Linked DNA regions of Kluyveromyces lactis. The protein of the gene in region 2 interacts with the protein of the main gene of each other region in a pairwise test. Links are inferred from orthologs where the notes say so. Each region holds a gene or a part of one and is shown on either strand. Other genes may lie near its edges.

What was found.
Region 1: the proteins of KLLA0_F04323g (region 2) and MID2 interact in a two-hybrid assay, tested with the Saccharomyces cerevisiae proteins (2 studies listed by BioGRID, with this or other methods). The link is inferred for Kluyveromyces lactis from reciprocal best matches to the Saccharomyces cerevisiae genes PST2 and MID2.

Annotation. Positions count from the first base shown.
Region 1 is NC_006037.1:280,376-293,681, forward strand, and holds MID2 (Mid2p), read right to left. Parts: upstream 5,870-13,306; coding exon 4,853-5,869; downstream 1-4,852. Other genes in the region: SUA5 (threonylcarbamoyladenylate synthase), read left to right, coding at 1-790; Ca(2+)/Mn(2+)-transporting P-type ATPase PMR1, read right to left, coding at 938-3,754; KLLA0_A03201g (uncharacterized protein), read right to left, coding at 6,656-7,792; KLLA0_A03223g (uncharacterized protein), read left to right, coding at 9,627-11,660; TRM8 (tRNA (guanine46-N7)-methyltransferase), read right to left, coding at 11,804-12,640; MRPL11 (mitochondrial 54S ribosomal protein uL10m), read right to left, coding at 12,954-13,306.
Region 2 is NC_006042.1:403,743-416,352, reverse strand, and holds KLLA0_F04323g (uncharacterized protein), read right to left. Parts: upstream 5,211-12,610; coding exon 4,614-5,210; downstream 1-4,613. Other genes in the region: VPS54 (Vps54p), read right to left, coding at 1-239; RPI1 (protein phosphatase regulator REG1), read right to left, coding at 635-3,193; KLLA0_F04301g (regucalcin), read right to left, coding at 5,906-6,922; KLLA0_F04279g (MATE family efflux transporter), read right to left, coding at 7,391-8,842; KLLA0_F04257g (uncharacterized protein), read left to right, coding at 9,896-11,401; KLLA0_F04235g (agmatinase), read left to right, coding at 11,816-12,610.

The DNA.
Region 1 (13,306 bases), on a different chromosome or scaffold from region 2:
AATTCCCGACGGTTCAAACAGAAACACATTATCCAAATTGACTACTGCAAATCAACCAACATTTGCGTGTCGAATCCCTGCTAATCCGATTGCAAGAGCATTAATAGCATTGAGTGATACCCCAATCGCAGCACCTTCAGCCAACGCATCTACAAGACCATCACCAACGACCGCTGAACACGTATTCCATGACTTGAATGGTAGAATACCACTTATTTTAGATGGTGGTAAATGTTCTGTTGGTGTCGAATCTACTGTAGTCGATGGGCTTGTAACTCCGCCAATGTTATTAAGGCCAGGTGGTTTTACCTATGAGAATATTCTAAACATTGGCGGACCTCTATGGAAAGAGTGTCTGGTAGAGACTAAAGTAAACATCAAGGACGATGAAAAAGTCAAAACTCCAGGTATGAAATATAGACATTATTCCCCTAAGGCTAAGGTTATTTTATTGGTGCCTGAAGGCGATTCGCAAATCATATCATCCGAAAGATTGGGTAGACTGAAAAGCTTAGTTGACAAGGAAATCATACAGCAGGGTGCCAAAAAGGTTGCATTCTTGAACAGCTTACATTTGAATAAACATTTCATAGATGGCAAGTGCATACATGAATCACTCGGTACAACAGGCAAGGAGATCCAAGCCAATCTTTTTGCTCTTTTGAGAAAAGTTGATGAAGAAGACAACGTAGACCTAATTGTTGTAGAGGGAACAGAAGCCAACGAAGAAGGGCTAGCAATTATGAACAGATTAAGGAAGGCAGCTAGTAACAACATCATTAACTTTTAGTGAAATGTTCCAGAGTATTTTAGCTTCCGATATATACTATTCATAAAAGTAACACTAATGCATATTACCATAACTAGTAACATATAAATGCTCGTTGCAATTTAATATACATGAATACATGAAATATATAACTTTTTATCAGACCAATTAAACAATTGAGGAGCTATATGAGTCCAAGTATCTATTTTTCTTGACATAGTATTTCCTGATTTCATCACCAATGAAAACGCTGCTGCTTAACGTTAAGAGGAACAGTAAATCTCCCAGGCTAAGACTTTCTGTCTTAAAAATACCCTGAAAGAATGGTATATAAATGGCGCATAATTGTCCTAAAAGAGATAAGCTCACAGCATAGTTGAACATCTTGTTTGCAAAGAATCCTATCTCGAAGATGGATTTCGTTGCATGTCTACAAGACAAGGCATTAAACATATCAAAAAAGACAAAACAGGTAAATGTCATAGTTGTGTCTCTTGATGTAACTTGGCCATCTTCTGCCATTTCCTTGACAAAGACATATATTGTTCCAACAATTATAAAACATGCACTAATCAACACTCTTTTGAGGACAGCGTCAGTTAGGATCTTGTCAGTCCTTTTTCTTGGGGGTTTTCTCATAACTTCATGATCGACAGGCTCAACACCTAAGGACTGAGCTGGAGGTCCATCCATTAATATATTAATCCAAAGAATCTGCATGGCATTTAAAGGATTTGGTAGTTTCAAAGAAGTCGAAATAGCGACCAACGAAAGAGCAGCAACTGAGGTAGACAATTGGAAAGTCAAGAAATTTTGAATATTATTGAAAATACCTTTACCTTCTTCAATGGCAGTTAAAATTGTACTGAAGTCATCGTCGGTTAAAACCATATCAGAGGCTTCTTTGGCAACATCAGTTCCCATTTTACCCATAGACACACCTATATCTGCCAACTTCAAGGCAGGTGCATCATTAACACCATCGCCAGTCATTGCTACAATATCACCACGCTTTTGCAAGGCGCGAACAATGTTCAACTTATGTTCAGGGGTAGCACGAGCAAACACGTTAACATGATCAATAACACTAGCCAATTGGTCATCAGTCATTTGGTCCAGCTTATCACCTGAAAGCACACTGTATTCAGGGTTGATGACAGGAATTCCAATTTGTCTAGCAATACTAACAGCAGTGTTTTCAGCATCACCTGTGATCATAATAACATGTACGCTACCTTGGAGTAGTTCTTCAATGGCACTGCGGACTGTCGGCCTAGGTGGATCATTCATAGCAATTAGACCAGTAAATGTTAAGCCTTCAACCATGTCTTCATTGAATTCTTTGTCACCATGGGTGGCGCTCACCTCCAGCTCCGCAAAAGCAAGTGTACGAAGTCCTTCAGAAGCCAGTGCAACAGCTGCATCGTTAATGATGGCTTTATCATTTGGTTTCAGCTTATGCACCTTCCCGTCTCTGCCAATGTAGTTGATGGATTTCTCAACAATCTTTTCGAAAGCACCTTTCACGTATACTACCACTTTATCATTGGCATCGATAGTTTTGACAGCCATAAATTTTCTCTTCGAATTGAAAGGGATTTCGTTAATCTTGTTGACGGAGTTTCTGCAATCATTTATACCAAAATGTTGTAATGACTCTAAGATGGCAATATCTGTTGGATTACCAAGGTATTTAAGATGTTCCTGGGAGTAGGTCCCATTATTGCAAATGTTACCGATTCTCAAAGTGGTAGCAACATCTTGCTCCATTTTAATCGGTCTTTCTTTCACCTTAGATAATGCCAAACAATTAGTTTTATTTTCCATACTGCCCAAACACCAAATCTTTGAAACAGTCATATGATTTGCGGTCAAAGTACCAGTCTTATCAGAACAAATAACGTTTACAGAACCCAAAGTTTCAACACTTGGAAGCCTCCTGACAATAGCCTTACGTTTAGCCATTCTTAAGACCCCTAGGGCCAAAGTAACAGTAACAATAATTGGTAAACCTTCAGGGATAGCAGCCACCGCTAGAGAAACAGCGATCTGGAACATTTCCAACCATGATCTACCCTGGATAATACCAATCAAACAAATAATACCAATCAAAACGAAACTCATGTAGGACAAATCCTGACCCAATTTGTCCATTGCTGTCTGCAATGGAGTCTTTGGCTTATCTATACCACTCATCATTTCAAAGACAGAACCAAAAACAGTATGCTTGCCTGTGGCAATGACTATTCCCTTACCATGGCCTTCTCTGACCAAAGTACCCATAAATCCGATACAGTTTCTATCGCCAACTGGAATAATGGATCCAGGTATATGAGAGTAGTTCTTAGGGTCCACTGCACCAGAACTCTTGTGTACTGGTTCATTTTCACCTGTCAAATTACTTTCATCTACGCACAAATCGATAGATTCTACAATTCTTAAATCAGCAGGAATTCTATCACCGACCTTAAATCTGACCAAATCACCTGGAACTAAGTTTGACGCAAGAACATGGGATAACTGCCCTGATCTTGTCAAATGACATTCCGCTGGGACTAACTTGTTTAATGCTTCTAATGACTTCTCTGACTTATATTCTTGTACAAACCCGACGGTAACAACAATGATGATGGCCAGAGCAATACTGATGGAATCATCGATGTTTCCCATTAAGAAAGATATAACTGCAGATCCGATCAACAAAAGAATTAAAGGGTCTTCAATGAATGTAGACAAGAATTTTTTCCAAAGAGATACTTTCTCATCAGGTAGGACTTCGTTTGATCCCCAAATTGATTTCCTATAAGCAATTTCTGATGGATTGGATAAACCATTATCGAAATCAGTTCCTAATTGTGCTATCGTATCTTCCACTGACACCGTGCAATATTCTAGTGAGGCATTAGGCTGCGAAAGCACATCGACAGCGGGCTGTGGCGGTTGCTGGTCTCGTGCGAGATAAGACTCAAACGGATTGTCACTCATATATGCTGCAGATCAGTAAAAAGATGTGTAGTATATCAAAGCCACCAACGGTTTCTCTTTAAGATGATGATTTGGCGTAAGGGAAACGCAAAAAACGACAAAGATAGTGATAAAGCTTCTCAATAACTTCAACTGCAAAGCAGAGAAACAGAACGTATTAGAACCAATAAAGAATTTACGTATAAGTCCAAATCGCCGACGCTTGCTGTCTCTGGGTCTTGTCCTTTTTTTGTTCTCTTGGCTACGATGTACTTTATTTCGACAGAGAATTTTTGAAAATTTCACTTACGGTGGAAAAACGTTTCCTTTAATATATATAATAAAGAAAACATGATGTTTTTAATATACGGAGATTTAAACAGAAAGCCATCGTCCCGGTAACCTTTGAAAGTGTGTAGAAGTAATGAAACGTATGACAGAGGGAGATCAGAGTTGATGCTATTAGCCGCGAGCGCCATTTTGTTTGTTTAAATCTAATTGGATATCCAAAGGCATACAAAAGAAATGATATTAAACTTTCAAGAATCGAATATCTTAAAAAGTCAAGATCTTAACTATGTAGCGACAGTAAATATTAAAAAAAAAACTAAGGAAAAAGGATGATTGAGTACCTTTGTTACCCGGTTAGGTACGATTATAACATTGTGACACTGTTAAAAGACCGACAAGGTGATGATTGAAAGAAGCTCAGTAGATACGTGTGCTCAGCTAAATTCGGTCAACTCCAGAATACATATAAGCTTTCTTTTTCTCTCTGTCATTTTTTAGATATATTTTACACAGTATAATGAAGTATCTGACAATTTTAATTTTTGATATGCATGCACTATAGGTGGACTCTTTAAAAGTAAGGTTTAGGGGATCGGAATAGCAGTTAGAGTGTATGTGAAACGAATGGGTCGAAATAGAATTATAATTAGGGGGATTAGTCAAATGTTTCGGCAATGATAAATGAATTCAAATGCAAGGAGTACACCATGCCGTGTTTTATTGTAAAATGCAGGAAGAAAAAAAAATTGGACGACCCAGTCGACATACACCACCATGATAGATAGGTTTAGTTTTATTTTTTTGGATGTTTAAAGAATATAGCAGTGATCAGTAGTTTCTACCGTTCAATTCATTACCGTCATCATCGTAATATTTTTCTTCATCCAACATCAGTTCGTTGGAATGAGATTTTCTATGGCCATCGGTGTTGTTTCTACCGACAGTATTATTTCTTGTTGGCGCCAACACTGATGGTTCATCGATACCTGATTCCGGAGATTCCGTCACGTAATCGTCCGTTTGTTTACCCATGAATGCTTTCCACCATTTAGACACTTTACCAGAAGTGTATGCGGTCACCACTTTACCCTCTGAGTTTAAGAAGTTCGTTCTCTTTGGTTTGATGCAGAAAATGTAGATCAATGCCAATAATACAAGCAAGATCGGGACACCCAACCCTACAACAACACCGATCACAATCCTTTTATTTTTGTCGCTTAGTCCCGTGTGTTGGCCTTCTCTGCTGTCGGGATCGCTGGTACTAGTAGGTGTGAAAGTAACTGTAGTGTACCTATCGCTCAAAATCGTGACACCGTTGATCACCGAAGTGATGGTGGTCGGCGGATGTGTGGTGGTCGGATCAGACGATGATTCCACTGATGTAGAAGTTGTCTCCTCTTCAGATGATGTTGTGGTTTCATCCAGATCGCTAGAAGTGCTGGTAGAAGAGCTTGTGCTTGAACTGGTAGATGATGATGATGTGGAAGACTCGGATGAAGAACTGCTACTACTGCTAGTAGTGGTGTTAGAAGGAAGCTCAGAACTAGATGAGATATCCGTTGAAATGAAAGACGTCGACACTTCTGACATCGAAGTCTCTTCTGGGGCTTCAGACGATGAAACAAAGGGTTCCTCCGTGCTACTTACTTCCCCATCACTCGAACTAGTAATAACGGTAAACGTCGACTGCTCTTCGGAAGAAGACGCCAAAGATGAGGAAGGAGATAGTGTACTTGTTGTACCGTTGCTTGCCGTTATCCCTCCGTCATTTTCCGCCGCAGACTGCTGACCCAGAACTGGTTTTATCGCAGAGACTAATAATAGCAGCGGTATCACAAACTGCATATTTCCTCAATATATCAGATCGAAATAACAACTGTTCCTCCTCTCTAAACCAAATGGAAAAAGATGTGCCAGCTAATATTCACTCTGCACAAGTGAGTCAACCTATACAGAGCAAAAAAAAAGGCAACGTACAAACTACAGATCAAAGTTTAAATCTCATGTACTTGTTAACATGTAACACATTTTATTTATACTATATTTGATCTGAAAATCATTCAAGCAAAATAGATCAAAAGGAAAGGTGCTTCGCCAAAAAAAAAAAAAAAATGGAAAATTCAAACAATAAAAATAAAACGTCTTTTTTCGAAAAAATCCGTCTTTTTCTTTCCAGATCATCGTAACGGAATTGAGATCGAGAAAGAATGTTCATAGAAACGATCGTGCGATCAGTAAGTATGGGTGAAGATGATGGTCTCTTCGAGACCTCCGTCTAGAATTCAGATTCCACTTGGATTGGAATGGATTGATGGTTATGGTTACCATGCATTTGAGGGACAAATGCCGCGCCTCCAATCTTTAAGTATATGAATTGCCTATTCTCCGGGGTTTGTTAAGTTCAACTTGCGTGTTCTTCGAAGCACAGTTGAAATTAGATCTTATATATTCTATCTATGTACATGCCTAAGCGTATGCGGGTCTAGGTATTCTCAAAGCGGATTTGGTTTGAGACTAGATATATAAAAATTCCAAAAGATATACCTTGATGTAGAAAGCTTGCGGAGTAGTTAGAGAACTGAAGGATAATGAGAAGATACGTGTTTTAGTTGAGGGGGGTTGCTAAATTGTCTAAACACTGCTATCGCCGAAGATACCCCAATATTGCTCAACACCTTGAGCACCGGCATCCTTCCAGTAGTCGTTGTATGTGGTGAATAAGATGGCTTGGGAACCTAGAGTGTCGATGATGGATTGGACACAGGTTTCTTGGTTTGATTTGGATGGAACACAACTTCCGTAAGTGTCACCCTTTGTTGGCCAGCCAGTTTCAGTGACGATGATTTTCTTGCCGTTGTTACACGTAGAAGACAAGTTGTCCAATTGCTGTTTCACCCATGGTCCACAGTTGGATGGTTCCACATTACCATCCCAGTATGGATGACAGTTAACTGCAATAAAATCTGACATACTGCATAGACCAGAGTTGTTTTCGGTGGCCACTAGGGTATCAACGGTGACAACGTCACCTGTGTAGCCAATAGCACTCAATTTAGATTTAGCTGATTCAACAGCGCTACTCAGTTGAGAAACGGTACTCGTTCCTGCATTGATCAGTTCGTTACCGACAGAAATAGCGTAAACCTTGGAGAAATCACCGTTGAAAGCAGATTCGATTGCACTGACGCTGGAGGCAATGTTATCGATGTCGTAGATACCAACAAAGATCTTTTGACCGCTTTGTAATTGAGATAGAATTGCTTCCATCGCGTCACAGTCAGTGTCGTAGATTCTAATGACACTGAATTGTGACAAATTCTGAATGTCGGATTTGATGGTGTCTGAAGACTTACAAGAACCACTGCTGGTGTATGGAGAGTAAGTGATACCCAAAGCACCACCATATTCACCAGAACTTGAACTAGAAGCGTCACTGCTGCTAGAAGTGGAACTAGAACTAGAACTGGTTCCACCGGAGGAAGAGGTTGAGGAACCCGATAAAGAACTAGATGAACCTGATGATGACGTTACCGTTGTAGTTTCAACACTTTTTCCACCACCAATATCAGTAACTGGTTGCAAGGTCGTTGTGGCATCTGTCGCACTTGTTTGCCCGTCAACCAAGACTTGACCATTTTGATCAACGAAATTTGTTACGACGACAGTAACGTCTCTTTTTTCTTCAGCAGCGTGATGTTTATGAACGGCAGCAGCAGAGACAACGGAAGCAAGAGCTAAGGTCTTTGATAAAACGTAATTTAATCTCATGACGGTGTATTGTATGAAGCTTAATCTGAACTGGGTGAATGCAAAATAAGGAGTGAAATCGTCAAATTAAAGCCTTGTTGATGTTATGGTTTGATCTTATTTAGAACAAGTGTTGTTATAGCCTTACTCAAGCTTTCAGTTTGAACTTGAAACGGAGGACATTGAGTATTCTATTGTCACATTTATATAAACTCGCCAACGCAGACGAAAACCATGAGGTTTCATGGCTGAGCATTACTGAAGATCTCATCGTGGGAACGTTTAGACTGGTGTGTGGACCGAATTGTTTCTTGTTGAAACAATCTCGTAACCGTATGGTAACAAGAACAAAGAAATTTTGAAACCAATAGAAACGATTAGCGCTCTTAAAAAGGAACGACTACGAAAAAACTTACTGCATCAATTCGCTCTCTCAAACCATAAGTGTTTTCGTGGAGAAACCTACTTAGTATTATTGAGAAGGAGAATTTGCAACACCAGCGAGAGAGCTATAATGTCTGGCTTAAGGTGGAAAGATTCCTTAGGATATTTCCGGAATTGGTAAGAGCTTCGGAATTTGAAAGCTGTGCGATAACCATATCTGGAAAAGTTAGTACTAAGTGAAATCTTTCCATGTTCCATTCTTCGAAATAGCGTTCTAGCTGTACAAATACGGAATGAGGTTGTGCTTATGAAAGAAATTCCGATGAGCCACGTCTTGTGCAAGGGCCTGTCTAAGAAAGTTTACTGAGTATACTTACTCGATAAGGAAAGCTATGAAGAACAATGCTAAAAGACATTTCCTGGTCTACAGCAACGGCTGAGAGCACTCAAAAATATCCACAGCGATAGCCCGGATTTAACCATGCTGTTAATGGTAATTATCTTCGCTGACGGGTATCTAAAAGGAAAGCTTCGAAATGTCTTTGTCTAAAGATGCGAAAAAAAAAGGAAAGGTCCACAGGTTTCTAACTAAAAAGAAAAATGATTCATGATGAAGCGACAATACAAGAAGTAATGGACGGTAGGTAAAAACTAACACGTACGGAAGAGCAAATAAGTTGTATATTTCAGCACCAGTAGTTCCGATTGGTGTCATCTATACACCAAGTCATTTGGGGTGGCAAACGTCTGGACGAATCGGGCATTTAGTGGCTTAGTGCTCATCAATTGCTGTTCCGTAAGACGGTATTAATTTTTTCTTTTTCTCTATTATTTGCTATTTCGCGTCTTGAGTTAACGTGTCAGAATGTTATCTCCACTTATTGAACAAAGAAACATCCCGAAGTGAGATCATAAGGAACCTTGACGGTAACAAGGGTGGCTTTCCGAATGGCTCCTTTCACGTGGACACTATTTTTCTCTGAAAGGTAATTTGATCACGTGGACGGCCTTCCATCACGTGTAAATGACGTTTCTTCATCGACGCTTTGTTTTTCGCCATTCCAGACAACAAAAAAGTTCAGTTTCCATAAGAAACGTAATGATCTTGAAAAACAGTCACTTTGGAATGACTGACTGTTCAAATTACATATATAGCATAGGCAATACTGGCATACCTGTTTACGCTTAATAGGTTGTTTTTCGTTCACATCTCGCAAAGTAATTTCACCGATAGTGCTGTTTTGCTGACCAGGGTCTGAAATTTAGAGCGTTATTACTTTAACATTCGATTCTCCTATTTCAATTACCCCGGAATTTGTTCTTTAGATACTCTCTGCAAGCAAGACTCGTGACATTACTCGAATAAAGTTAGCCTCTTGAATTCTTTCAATCGATAGTTCACTTTGGCTCGGCTGAATATACTGCTGGTCTTCTGACTTTTTTTTACACCTGTCCTCCCAATATCGTCATCATGTCTGATAGTACCGATAAAGATAGGCATAACAAAAATTCGTCCAGGGGTATCGTCAATACGGATATCGAGGATGACAATAGTCCATCACCTTTGGACACCACTGACAAGAAAGGTGCTCCGGAATTGCAGAAACCGGGAAATCCATCTTTGTTCAAGGAATCTGCTTTGAAGAATTCTGATCAGCTACAATTTAGAAACAGTTTCAACATTCCAAATGCCGTTGGCGGAACTAACGGAATTGTAATTCCTCCAAATGTTCAACCATTAGATCAACAACGTATTCCACCTAGCTACACTGATCACTTACAGGTTAAGGATACTTATTTGACGGGAAGAACTCTATTGTACTTCACATCGATATTTGTGTCACTAGGCGTATTTTTGTTTGGCTACGATCAAGGTGTTATGTCTGGTATTATCACTGGCCCATATTTCAAGACTTATTTCAATAACCCAACTGCGGCAACTATTGGTACTATGGTCTCAATTCTTGAGATTGGAGCTCTTGTTTCCTCCTTACTAGTCTCCAATATTGGTGAAAAATTCGGTAGAAGGTTCACTATAAAATATGGATCTTTAATTTTCATTTTAGGTGGATTGGTTCAGACGTTTTCATGGGAAATGGGTCATATGATATTTGGTAGAATCATTAGTGGTATTGGTGTTGGTTTATTAAGTACCATTGTACCCATTTATCAATCAGAAATTAGCCCCCCACATAACAGAGGAAAATTGGCTTGCATTGAGTTTACAGGAAATATTGTTGGTTATGCGTCTAGTGTTTGGGTCGATTATGCGTGCTCCTATATAGAATCAGATACTTCTTGGAGATTACCCTTGTTCATTCAATGTGTTATGGGCTTGCTGTTATTTTTAGGGTCGTTTGTTATTGTTGAGACTCCCCGTTGGTTATTAAATCACGACCATGATATTGAAGGGTTGGTGGTCATAGCAGACTTACATAGTGATGGTGACGTTTTGCATTCAAAAGCTCATGAGGAGTATAAGCTGATCAAGGAAACAGTCCTCATATCAAGACTGGAAGGTGAAAAGAAATCGTTACGTTTTGCTTTTAAACGGTATAGAACCAGGATGCTAATTGCAATGAGCTCTCAAATGTTTGCTCAATTAAACGGTATCAACGTTATATCATATTACGCGCCTCTTGTTTTTGAACAAGCTGGATGGGTTGGTAGAGAGGCCTTGTTGATGACAGGTATTAATTCCATCATTTACATATTGTCCACTATTTTGCCATGGAAATTAGTTGATAAATGGGGGAGAAAACCAATCCTACTCTCCGGGGCGCTGGTAATGGGAACTTCTTTGCTTGCAATAGCCATGTCATTATGGGCGAATGTTGCTGCCACTCCAAGATTAGTGGTCGTGTTCGTGATCATCTTTAATGCCTTTTTCGGTTACAGTTGGGGTCCAATCCCATGGCTATATCCTGTTGAGATTGCGCCTGCAATGGCAAGATCTGCAATGGCATCTGCTTCTACTGCTACAAACTGGCTGTTTAACTGGTTAGTAGGTATCATGACTCCTATCTTGCAAGAAAAAATCCATTGGAGAATGTACTTGATTCATACTGTATCCTGCTACTTGTCATTCTGGTGTGTGTTAAAAGTTTATCCAGAGACTGCTGGTTTAAGATTAGAAGATATGGATTCTGTTTTTGATGACAGGTCATCAACCTTCAGTTTCCAGTCAGGGACCTCCGCTGAAATAGAACAACAGTCTCATCTAGTAAGTGGTGGAGGAGAAGTAGCACCATCAACGAGATCTCGCAAAAGTGTTTATTCGAATGCACAATCCATGTTTAATAAAGATGAGATACAACCACCAACATTGACCCAGGTTCTTCAATGGAAGGAAGAGAGAACTCAAACTAAACCATTGAAAAAATTTATAAGAAGAGGCTCGGAGACTGTCTGTTTGATATATAATAAGGTACGAAACTTACGGAGCACCAATGATACAAACCAAATCGAGTATGGTGCCGTATCCAATAATCAGCCTCCGAACTAATGATATTGCCACTTGTTTTCAACTGCTTGTTTTCAATAATGCATCTTTTATAGGTACTTAAGGTATTCACTTTCTAACTCGTTTTTGTACAAATATTCTTGAATAGTACCCGAAGTAATATGTAGTATTATATACGACAGATATTAGATTATATCTGGAGTTGGTAATCTTACGAAACATGCTATATATTTATCACCTTTATTTCTTTCAACTTTCTTACCTTCCTCTGTAGCATTTCTCATTATGCTTACACATTTATCCTGTGCTTCCCATTCTTCAGAAAGCCTTTCGAATAGAGGATGTTCTTCTAAGTGTTTTACCATCCATTCATGTAGATCTAGAACATCGGTGATTGTATAAATGATACCACCCTCTTTCAACACATATGCGTACTCACTTAGTAATGTATCAGTGACGATTCTTGCTTTATGCTTTCTTTGCTTGAAATGGGGATCTGGGAAACAGAAAAATATCTTGGACAACTGTCCCTTATTAAAAAAATTTGGCAAGAATTTCATTGCATTACCTCTTAATACATTAATGTTTTGATATCCGTTTTCCTTCGCGTGGTTGGTTCTCAATGCAATAATTCTATCTTCGACATAATTCGTTACTTGAACACGAATCTCCATACCCAAGATCATTTCATCGGGAAATTCTGGAGATAAATCGATCATAAGACCACCATAACCACATCCGATATCCGCAATGGTAACATCTTTCGTCATTTTCTTCTTTTCACTATCGTAGAAATGAGGGTACAATTTTGACCAGTCCATATGAGCTGGGCTTATTGGATACTCCAACTGATGATCACTGAATGGATTCGAATGTGCTCTTTGTCTGTAAAACTTTTTTTTAGGTAAAGATAGTTTATCCACCTTTTCAATCACAGATTCATCGATCTTGACATGTTTCAATTCTTTGCGATGATCTTGCTTCTCAGCACGATACGCCTGGCGTCTAGTACTAAAACTCATATTTTCTAACAAAGGCAGTTATAGGAAATTTGAGTCACTGTTAGAATTCAATTATGTTTATTCAACACACATTAACGGTTGGTGGAAGTAACTGCTTTGAAAAATTGTAACCTCATCGCCTAGGTTTTCTCGACTCAATTGATTCAGTGCATGTTCAAAAACTTTTTATTTCTTTACAATATACAAATGAGATCAAAAAAAGTCACGTGCAAAGAATATGTACAGGAGTTTATATTAATATGTGATGGGTTTATTTAAGTACATCGATACGTAAAAATGATTTATATTACATTTCATGATGGGGCAAAAGACTTTAATTTCCTTCGCTGTCATTCTCGTTTTTCTGCTTATCTGGGTTAATATTATCTTCGTGAGACTTTAGAGTTAGGTACAACATGTTTGAGCCAGCTTCTAAAGTTTGAACTAAACCAGCACCGCTCAAGACGTGCAATAGTCCCAGTAATTCTGATTGTAATTGACTTTTTGTTGGTAGATCCTTGAAAGAATCCAATTGTCTCAAATCGTACGCATCATTTTCAACTTTGGCGCCAATAACGAATAACTTGTCTTGGGCTTTTTCCAATAATTTCATGACTTTTTTTACCTTTGCCGGATCAGTCTCTGGGAACGAAATTGCTGCCGTAGGACCTTTGAACAAGGGCAGTA
Region 2 (12,610 bases):
TGGGTATGCATCGTTGTAGAAAAAGAATTGAATGTGGAATCAAAACTACTACGCCTCATAGACATACTGTCCCTTATTTGATCCCTGTTTCTAGATAATACAGATAGATCATCGTTCAACGAGCTAGCATCATCTGAGGCATGACTGGGCACCAATAGTGGAGATCGACTTAATTGCGTCCTACTATCAGGAGTTAGAGATAGAGCTGGTGTCTCACTTCCCAGTAACCTATCCGGCATAGTTAACTCGCTGGTTTATAGTCTGTTGGAACAGCTTTTTCTTTGCTATGCATCTTAAAGGTGTATGTATCTGTTTACAATATGAACTTTAATCGATTTTCAGTTTTTACATATTCAATGATACTTCTAAAAGAAAGTGAACATGGTAGTTTGAGTATATAATTAAGCGCACTCTCTCAACATAAATAAAACACCGTAGCAAGTTAATCAATAGAAGCATTAAGCGCTGAGCGAGAGATCTACGCAGATGGATAAAACCAAGAAAAATTGTTGTTCTTCTAATTAATACTATTTACGTAGTGAAAAAAAAATATATATGCTGGTAGAGTGGTATTTTTAAGTTTAACCTCAATAAAAAAAATGAACTCCGAATATACCTAAGAGCACTTGAGCGATCACTCAGAATCAGAATCAGATCCAAATAAAAAGCTACCCGATGAAGGAGATTTTAATGGTGGTCTTCTTACCGTCGAATTGTGTTGAGATAAAGGTTCTCCAGTGATGAAGCTATGTGTCTGTTTTAAAACAGGAGATGCAGAATTGGAAGGTGTGATAAAATCATGAATGGAATTTGCTCTAGACTTCCCTATAGATGAGGTTCGCCTTAATGATAGTGGGTCTTTTGCAGTAAGCTCTAGTTCTTCACCGTTATCGTCATGCTCTTCGTCATCATGACTGAAACCAGGTTGGGAAGAATCTGCGATGAATTCGTTGTCCGGATGTTCATCGTTATCATCTTGTACCGGAAGGCTTTGATGGTATGTATATATTTTCCCTCTTGAGTCATCATCCATATATCCGTCATTCGCGTCCTGTATTGGAGTATCTAATCCAATGCCATCCGGTACATCGAGGATATCACACGAATTGTCCACAGTTACAAAGTTGGATGTATCCCCCGTGTAAACGGAATTATAATCATACATGTAGTCAAATCCTCTGCTAGTATTCACATTGTGTGATACTGCGTTACCATAATACCATTCATTTTCGTCTTCATCATAATATTCATCGTCAGATCCGTAGTTTAGAGTAGTGGCTGGAAGTGGTTTAATAGTTGCGTTTGGAAATTTGGATAGTGAGAGTGATCTTAAAGAATTTGCAACATCTGTGCCATCACTAGCCCCCGAATTGGTTCGATTTTTTCTAGTATGTGCACTGATAAATAACCCATCATCTTCGTCATCTTCGTCGTCATCTTCATCATAATCGTAGCTGTCAGCGTCTTCATCATCTTCGTCATCGGCGTAATCTTCGACGCTGTTGGCCCCTGAATTTCTATATCCATCGTCAAAGTCAGAATACTGATGCGAAGATCTGGCACCGTCCGACATATCGTCAGAGTGGTAATCGGTATTTGTCATTGGGACTTCGTCATCATTAGGATTAGCGTCTATGGGGTTATGATTAACCGCAATACATTGTTCGACACGGTCATTGAAATGAATATGTCTTTCCCTTTTTTGCTTTTGCTTCATCGATGATGTAAGAATCGATGATAATATGGGAGGATCAGATCTTGCGGATGGGGTTTCTATCACAGAGCCAGAGATTGGACCTGGAGTGGTATTTACTATCGACGAGTTTGTTTCGGTCACAACGGGCGAAATAGATTCCACCGATTCATCAGGCGGTGTATGGATATTTTTGTAATATTGTGCATTCACCTTCGCGGCAATAGCATCATAATCGTCATGCGTTGTCTGACTTGACTGCGGATCCAAAATAGCATGCAAGTCACTAGTTTGCTTTCTGTGCTGCCTTGCTATATCTAATCTCCATTTGGAGTTTTCCTCGATAATTTCACTAACAGTTCTCTTCTTTAGAATAGGTTTAGGACCGGGACTCTGAGACTTTTGGATCAACCTTTTTGAATTTTCATCATCGGAACCATACCCCATGGTGGCCGCATGATTGTTTCCTATTTCAACGTTGGAAGTGGGCTTTGATGACGACGTCGAGTTATTTTGATCGCCCACTACAATCGGACCGTATAACCAAGTTACATCAGAATCCTTTGACCAGTTCAAAGATTCTGGATTCACAGTTTTCAGATTATTTCTAGCCTTTGACCAAGTTCTCCAGGAAGCATTTTCCAACCTTGCAGCATTGATTAAATCTGTGTCCTTCCGTTTCTTTTTCAAAATGATATAACGCCATGACTGAGATATTTCGTTTTCGTTCCATTTATGAGATAAGTAATCCACATGTCTATTGGGTTCATACATCAAGTCGTTGTCATCATGATGAATTAGGAAATCGTCAGTACCCGGGTCTGGAGGAGAATTAGAATCTTCTACATCTTTGTAGTCGTAGTCGTAATCGTAATCTGCTTCGTAGTCATCGTCGTAGTTATCGACTTGCATGTTTTCGTCTGTGTAGTCTTCGTCGGTTCCGCCAACAGTTGTATTGTGTTTATTCAGCCCGGTGTCATTAAGCGTAGTATCATTACCGTCGTTATCGTCATTATAAGAAGTATTATTACTGTTTTTATTGATATTATCAGTTTTGTTTTCGTTGTCGTTGTTGTTGTTGTTGTTGTTGTTGTTGTTGTTGTTGTTGTTGTTGTTAATATTATTCATGCTCCCGCTACTGTCACCACTATTGAGGTCGTTACTCAAGCCATCGATGTTACTGTTAGAGAAGTTATCGGAATCAACAGAGCTCGAACCTGCCAGAAGTTTCTGAGTATCGTCGATGTATGGATCCAACAGTCCCATGGATCGTGTTCTTTTCAAATTGAACGTAGAATTCTTGAAATGGTCGTCGTCATCAGCATGAACCGCCATAGACACAGAAGGACCCATATCGTCGTAATTTGGGACTTGTTTATTTACACTGCTTGTTCCGTATTCATCATTCGATGAGCTTCTGTTCAATGCGACTCTACCCGGGGTAGCATTCCCCTGAGAAGCATTCCCCTGAGCAAAATACGCCGCTAAATTATTCTGCATAATGCAAAGCGTGCTGTGTTTATCTGGTAAAACCTTCTGAATATTATACTCTGCTGTCTTGTTCAACCGCGTGTGTATCACGCAGTAAAAAAGCTAGGTTGAATTATATCAAGTAAGCTCTGCTTGGATGGTAGAAGGTGATTCCTGCGATCCAAAAAAATTAATGGAATAATAAAATAAAATAAAACTGAGAACCAGACAACGAAAGAAGCCTAGGGTATCAAGCGTTATCAGACGCTATCCTTCAGTCCAACAGTAGTATAGTGAGAAATCTGATTTTGCCTAATGAAAGTAGACCAAATAGAAAAATCACACTATCGTTTAACTCTCCTTTATACCACAAATCGCTTCAGGAAAAATAAAGGACTCTCTCTCTGTTAAAGCAGATTGTAACTATCACTGAAAATGCTTAGCACAAAACAAAAATCGTCGAACGAGGCAATCAGAATACACACTTAAACCTGCTCTTCTTCCTATTCCCCCAAACCTTTACATTCTATATGTTCTATATGTTCTATATGTTCTTTGTTCTTTTTAAAAAGTGGATTTGAAAGCTCAAACCAAAGTCCAAAAGAAAAGGAAACCAAACTAAATTCCCAAAAAGAAAAACGAAAACAGAATAATGAGTACCGCTTGCCAGTATTGTTCAATAGAAAAGATCGAAAAGGAGGCAAAATTTGTCTATGACGCTTTGGTGCTTACGTCTTACAACAGACCGTGTTTAGACATGTAAGTAAAGTTACAGGGTAATAGAGTATAAACCGATCCTAGTATGGCGGACGCTATATTCTGTTGTGTTTGAATTTATTAATTTACTGAGGAAATACAACTCCTAGCTTTTTTTAATGGAGCTGGTTTCCAAGTTAATTATTCATTTCAATTTTTGGAAATTCTAACTTCCCAAGTTATACATGTATAGCGAGAAAAGAAAATCGCACGGTAGCGGAGCGTTTTGAGTTTGTCGAAGATGAAACGGGAACTGGAACATTTCAGTTGGCCCAGGGGCCAACTAAATTTCAAGGGATTATCCGTTGTTTAGCAGGACAAATTTTTTTTTTTTTTTGTTCATTTTTGTCACTTTGGTCAGTTCTGGATTTTACATGAGTTCTACCTTGATCTATACCATACACTGATTCAGTCAATAGTGGTGTCATCGATTCTTGTCATATGTCGAGACACATTATATAGTCATCTTGCATGATCGGAGCGGGCATCTACTCTCTTTTTATTAAATTTGACAGTACCAGTTACCGTGAATGTCAGTAGGATACATGTTATATAAGCCGAAAAGCTTGCCAGAAGACCTGCCAGAAAACTTCGGATTGATATTTTTTTTCTAGTACTCTGGCACGGTGCAAAGCACATGCTGGATCTGCCAAATCTTACTGTTATGTATCATATAGAGAGAGTATTTTGTATTCTAAAACTTTTGGATAGTTTCGTAGAAAGTCTTACCTTGGATTTCGTGAACCTTCAATTCCAAGTCAGATGGTGTTCTGGAACCATCTGCACCGGCAATGGTACCAGCACCCCATGGAGAACCACCATGAGCTTCGTCTAAGTTTGTCAATTCACCGAAAACGTTTTTGTAACCCAATGGGACGTAAATGATACCGTGGTGGGCTAAAGTGGACAAAGCGTTGACAATAGTCATTTCGTTACCACCACCAGTACCGGTAGAAACAAAGAAACCGGCAACCTTACCGTGCAAGGCACCGCTGGCCCACAAACCACCAGTGGTATCCCAGAAAGCCTTCCATTGAGCTGGGAAGTTACCAAATCTAGTTGGAACACCGAACAAGTAAGCATCATATTCCGTCAAAGTGTCCTTAGAAGCAATTGGATAGTCTGGTTTGGCTGGAGCATGCATCAACTTCAAGACTTCTTCGGATAAAGTTTCTGGTACTTGATAGATGTCAGCTGAACCACCGGCAGCTTCGATACCCTTCTTTTCGTATTCGGCAGTCTTAGCAACATGGCCGTACATAGAATAAATGATAATAGCAACCTTAGCCATTTTTGTTAGATAATTCCGAGTTATATTAGGGTGAGTGAATGAGTAATTCTCGAGGTTTTCAGGAAAGAGATGGAAAGAATTGTAGCTACTAAACTTATTATAATTGAACCCTTTAACTGCAGAAGGCTTCCTTAATTTCCTTTTTTACCTTAGTTATATTTATATAGTGCCTGAAACTGAAAGTTTCAATCCATGTAAGAAAGGGGAAGACTGTAAAAAAAAAAAGGTTCGAAGGGGCCCAGAAAAAGGTGTAGGTGTACAAATCAATAACCTAAAATTAATAATAGACATAGTAAGTAGGGCCAATAAGCCTTACTTAAACTTAATAATCTATATGAGCAATTCTGATCACCCTGTTCTCAATTTCTTCAGAGGAAGATATAGTATTACGGCAAAAGTACGCTATAGATTAGTAAATTTTATAAATCTCAAATATGCGAATATAATTTGTCATAATGAAAAGTCAGCCAATTAAGGCACCTTAATTAAGACGTTACAAACACTATGTAAGTTGATAGTTGTTTCGCTGTCGTATAAACCATAAACATTCATAAGTTATTCTATGTTTATAAATTCTTTGTCAGTGCTTTGTCAGTAGTTTGTTAATACTTAGTAAAATATGATAAATTGAAAAACTGGGGATCACGGGATTGAAAACGCAAACTCCTTACATGTCACGTGCATCATAAGGGCTTCTAATGCTCTGCCGTAATCGGGTTCCTCTTTGAGGACCCCATATAAGTCGAGACATTCTCTACTTTAAAGATGGATCCACCAAGGCCCTCTGGACTTGCGTTATCTTCAATGATTTCGTTTGCTGTGGTAACAAACATGTGACCTTGGGCCAAGGTACATGCAGAGATTCGATTGGTCTCTGGGAACGTCCATTTGTGGATTAGATCTCCTTTGGTATCGTACCTTTGCACCGTACTCGTAGACCATACCGCTGTGATGATATTGTGCGTATCGGGATCGATGAAACTGCCGTCAGGTTCAGGTGAATCGAATTGGGAATTGAACTTCTTAATATCAATGAATAATGCCTTGTCCTCCACGATGAGATTTTTGTCTTGGTACGGATACTTGTAAATCGAGAAGTTTAGAGAATCAGTGAAATATACCGTTGTACCATCCTGGCTCCAATTGATTGCATTGGGAATCATCAATTTATCTATTACCAACTCACATATGTTTTCACGGAGGTTCACTTTTAGTAGTGCGCCCTTTGGGTCCTCTGAATCAACAGTACAATGGAAATCGTTCATAATACCGATGAATATTTCTCCATCTGGAGAGACGTTCCCATCGTTGGATCGTAAACCTGTCCAATCCTTCTGCAATCCGCTGTCACTATAGTGAACCAAGTATTGCCATCTCAAAGTGGTGTAATTCATTCTGGCAATCCCATATTTAGCACCGAAATAAACCTCTTCAACACCATCTGCTCTATCAATTGGGAAAATAGCTCCAATACGTTCTGGTAGATCAGTAGTAAATGGGTACAAGCCCTCATAGTTATCAACTGATGCATGCCATACAGTATGAGTTGAAATATCGTCAATATCAGTCACTCTATGGATGTAGGCATTGTAGATATCAATCCAGAAGAGCGCCTTGGATTCAGCTGCATAGCTGATACCCTCTGATAGTCTGATCTTACTATCGAAATAGTATGGTCCATTCTTATGAACAGTTTCCGTTACTTCGGTCATTGCTTTCTTTATAATTTTTCTTGACAGGCTCAATGCACTTTTCGACTATGGTTCTCGCTCACACTGAGAAGAGAATACAATCAATTTGAAAAACACTCTCTTCCGAATGGTCAAACTCTAATTATATCCGATCAATTTCTTTCATTAGCGAATTCTTATTCTTATTCAATTGCATGATTCTTTTACCACTTATATATACCCTTATTTTGAGAAGATGTTTGCATCTTTGTTGGAGTTTCTGGCTGAAGGAAAACAACGAAGGAATCGGAAAAAACGGAAAAACGGAAAAACAGGCAATAATTAGTTCCGGCCTAATATGATAATCAACACGAAGAAGTTTCTTAAGAAGAACGTATCCTTACCTATATATGTAAATACAAGGCCCAGTTAAATAATTGCTAGTGAACTAGAATATTTTCTCTGATTTTTTTTGATCTGTATTTAAAAAACAGTATAATCTGTCAATGATCACGCTTCATGGCGTAGGTCTTGCGATTTGCTAATAATATTTCTCCAGTTTGATATGTAAACGAAATAGTTCTCGCCAATAGCTAGGAAGAGGACACCTACCCCGATACCTATCCAGAACCCGAGCACTTCCATTTTGAATTTGAACGCTAATAAAATACCGACTTCAAGCCCAACTAGATAGTACGCCATTATGTTTAAATACCCACCGATTCGTTGTCTTCCCTGAGCTCTCAAGACACCTGCAGCCATGACATTGAAGCAATCATATATTTGATTTAATGCGACGACACAGAGTAATCCTGCAGCTTTATTTACCAAAACCGGGTCCGCATTAAACAAAGAACATAACTTGTAACGACCGAAGTACAACACTGTGAAATTTATTATTCCTGCAGCAGGACCAACCCCAAACATAGTTGCTTTCGTCGCTGTCTTGCAGTTTTCCGTGATTCCAGAACCAATGTGATAGGCAATTCTATTGGAAGCAGCCACACTGCAGCTGAAGGGTAATTGGAAGAAAAACGTTTGTAAGGTCGCTACAATACTTTGTGCAGCTAAGACTTCCGTTCCGAATTTCGCGCTTAAAACAGTGATGATCTCGAAAGCAAAAAACTCAGCTTCGATCATGATCAAACCTGGTAGCGCTAAAGCAATAAGGGGACCCCAATTCTTGAAAATTGCCGAGAAATTCCCAGTTATCGGATGCCAGCAGGAAGAATTACCAAAATATATTTGACGACAGATGTATGCAACAATTGTGAGCCCCATAAGAGTATAAGACAGCACCATAGAAATTGGAGATCCGATGTAGCCAAATTTGTACTTTAGAACAAATAAATAATTCAACAATATGTTCAATGGTGCACAGACAAACAGAATGTTTTGTCCAGTTACGAAATCTCCCTGAGCTTGTAAGTACTTCTTACCACATTCGAATATGATATAGCCGGGAAGACTAAGAATCATGATACGCAAATAAACAGCGGCGATATGGACAACGTCAGCGTCCTCCACTAGAAACGATAAAACGTACTCTGAATTATACCAAAATGCAATTACCGGAACGGCAAATAGGAAAGAAATGGCAACACCTCTTTGGAAATACAGTCCCACCATGTTGTACTTACCTGCACCATACGCTTGAGGACAAACCGTATCCAAACATGTTGCAATACCGATAAATATAGCCGAAGTGACCGCGAAAGTGACATTTCCGATCGAAATCCCTCCAACTTCTAAAGTCCCAACCCTTCCAGCGAAAACCAAAGCTGAGGACGATAATGAACATTGCAAGAGAAACGTAATGATTAATGGGATGGAGGTCTTAGTCATATACCAGAACTCATACTCTAAGCTCGTTTCCCCATCCTTTTTCAAGGATTCCACTGTATTGTATCCGCTATCGCCTCCTCTATGGGCAATTAATGAAGAGTCTTCACCTGGTACCATTCATAAATATTTAAAGACTCTATTTGTATCTCTAGAAGCTTTCTTGGCAGGCAATCCTGATACTTTCTATCACAATTTGAAGAACGTATTAAATATAAGAGTAATACCGATATTACACTATTGCTTCATCGTTTCTCTAGAACAGCGACCAGCGATGAAATATCGATGAAAGACGCCGTTACAGAACTACTGGCTAACGGTAAAAGATAACAATGTGATTACTTCTTCATCCTTCCTTTAAATAAAACCAAACATCAAGAGCAGACATCAAATTTACGTACCAATCCTTTTTTTTTTCATCACCATAAAGGGAAATGACTTGATATGGCACTTCACTGAGTAAAGAACATCCACACAAAGTGGCCCGAATGGGGTATCGAAATCAGGCACTAATGCGCCGACAAAACAGAATAGCTATTCTTCTTATCGTGCAGATAAACAGAGAAATTCCACTGATCATGCAGATCGTCGAGGTATAAAAAAGTCTAAAATGGTTCGGAATACAATTCTCACATTCACGCAAAATATTTCCATATTAGGTATCATTTTGCTTTGTGATGAAATCTAAAAACTTAAAACTTGAGGTCGCTGTTGATAGCAGATCCTGGCTTTAATACACATCATGAACTGTTACTCCAAACTAGATAGCAAGCAGGTGCTTAACGTTAATCTCTCCACTTTATCTCTCTTTAGGAATGCATGGGAGATAAAGGATTGAAGGAAAACGATATTTCATATAAAATAGGCAAGCTAATCACTTGGTCGATGAGCTTCATGCATGTTTCCTTCATCTCGAGCTGCTAATAAATGTATAATATAATACCGGAAAACATTAACACTAACAATCCATATTCAGCTCAACCTTACTTGTCAAGACTTGATAACATCCGGTTCAAGACTCAAATCAACCACAATCGGAGTAAGAATCGCTAGAAAAAATCAAGTAAGAATACCTACATTTCTTCTCTTTAAGGCCAATCTACCGTCTATCTTCCAATATCTCCCCTCTTTCACCTATAAGTGACAGAAAGTTACGGCAATCAAGCTATTATAATGATCGAGATGAGTTCATTTGGAAGTAAGCCTGAGGGCTCTGAGAGTGGGAAGACCTTTTACAATTATGAGGTGGATAAGACGATGATCAAGACACCCAGCGTCAAGAATCACGATGTGGAAGATGGTGAATTTGAACAGTACGGTGATGATACTAGCCTATCTTACCGTGATGCTTTTGAAGAAAGCGATGAAGAAGGTCATCAGATTAAATACAAGACTAGTTCATGGCAGCATATTACAGGTCTAATGTTATCAGAATACATCATCTTAGCCATGATGTCTTTCCCATGGTCCTATTCAGTATTAGGTTTAATACCGGGTCTTATTTTAACGGTGTTTGTTGCTGGTGTTGTGTTATACACCAGTTTTATCATTTTAGACTACTGCGAAAAGTTCCCTCATCTTAAAAATGCGTGTGACATCGGACAGCATTTATTTTGGGGAAGTAATTTTGCATGGTATGCAACTGCTGTTTGTTACGTTGCCAACAATACCCTTATCCAGGGTGTGCATGTCTTAGTCGGTGGTAAGTACCTTAATACCATCACAAATCACTCTACCTGTACTGTTGCATTTGGTGTCATTACCGCAATCATTTCTTTTGTGTTTTCTATCCCAAGAACCTTCGCCTCTATGTCTAAAGTTGCATACTTCTCAGCTATTACCATGTTCATTTCGGTAATACTGGCTATCATCTTTGTAGGAATCCAGGATCACCCGGTTGGTTATGATGGTACTCATTTGACATTCAGTTTATGGCCACAGAAGGGCACAAGTTATGTAGATGCAATGGGTGCATTTTTGAACATTGTGTACGTTTTCGCTGCTCAAGTCACTTATCCACAGTTCATCTCAGAAATGAAAAGACCGAGGGATTTCAAGAAGGTGTTCTTGCTTGTCACTGCAATCGAAGTTGTCATCTATTCAATAACAGGTGCTGTAATGTACTATTATATCGGTAATGAATACATGACCACCCCTGCATATGGGTCCTTAACGAGAAAATACAAGATTATAGCATACTCTTTTGCAGTGCCTACCATCATTTTCGTGGGGTCTCTCTATTCTAACATAACAACCAGATTCATTTTCTTCAAGGTCTTCAAAAATTCAGAACACATGCACTCTCATACCACTATCGGGTGGTTAAGTTGGATCGGAATAATCGTGTTAACTTGGATAGTTGCCTTTATTGTTGCAGAAGTGATTCCTTTCTTCTCAGATCTATTATCTTTGATGTGTTCCTTGTTCGCCTGCTGGTTCGGATTTGTATTCTGGGGTATGGCATACCTAAGGGTAAAGCAAACTAAATATGAAAAGACTAATCCTTATCCATGTTTGGATAAAGGAGAAAAAATTCGTTTCTACATAGCGGGATTCCTTATACTTTTCGGAGTCTACGTTCTGGGACCAGGCCTATACGCTACCGTTCAAAGTATCATTTACAATTTCCAGGCGAATGCTTATGGTACGGTCTTCAGTTGTGCTGACAACAGTATTTGAAACCATGGAATTACTACCCCATTCAAGCCTGTTTTATCTCTTATCTAAACTATCTCCAATTAAAATCTATTTCATTTAGTTCTCTCAAAGTATATACGACCCGTCGTCACCTAATTCCTTCCGTCAAGCACGCTTATTGTTTATGGGAAACATTCTTTCACATATCCCATGCAATCTTATACCAATTTAGGAAATATTTCCCGAAAGATAGCAACTTGAGATTATGCCTGCATATCCCAGTGATTTCGAACCTAGCATGACTCTTTAAAAAAAAAAAAATTCGACGGTACATAAATACAAGGAAAAATTCGTCTCGAATAGCTTTACAGAAAAAAGGCAGCATAGCTATTGCATGAATGAAAAGCAAATATTTAACTGTTAATCAACTGAACCCTATCCTTCAGTGTCTTAATCATGATCGCTAATAATATAGCGTATATTACTGCGCTATTTAGTTACTTGCTAATTGCCCATTCGCATTTCGTTCCTGCAACTAATCAAAAGTCATCTTCATTCCAAATAGAAAACGATGCACCAGTTGACGTAGAATTGTTGCAACAGGACTCACTTATGTATCAGCTATATGGAGATTTGTTACAGTCTCGTAATGGAGAAGAAAGTGAAGTTGCTGCTGCCCGGCCTTTGATCAAAGTTCATCCAGAAGAGACGGATGAGGAATTTAGGGGAATGTGTTCGTTCTACAACGATCACGAGAATGAATATCCAGAAGACGATTTTGAGGACGATTTACTTCAGTTCACTGGTATTGTTTCCTTTGCACACACCCCTATTGCCCAATGTTTCAGAAACACTTCGTTGGAGATGGATATCGCTATTGTTGGTGCCCCATTTGATACCAGCGTGTCTTATAGACCAGGCGCTAGATTTGGCCCTAACGGAATAAGACAAGGCTCCAGAAGATTAGGAAACGGTATTTCTCCTGTTAGAGGTTTCCCGGGATCGAAGTTACGTAAACTAGATCCTTACCACTCTGGATATAAGATCGTTGACTGTGGGGATATCCCAATGACTCCATTTGACAACAAACTAGCTCTTAATCAATTGTACAGGGGACAAAGAGCGTTGCACAACCACTCATCATTAGTTCATAAAGAGCAGCCACCAAAATTAATCACCTTGGGTGGGGACCATACGATTACACTTATGGCTCTGCGTTCTGCTTATGAACATTACGGCAAGGTTTCTGTC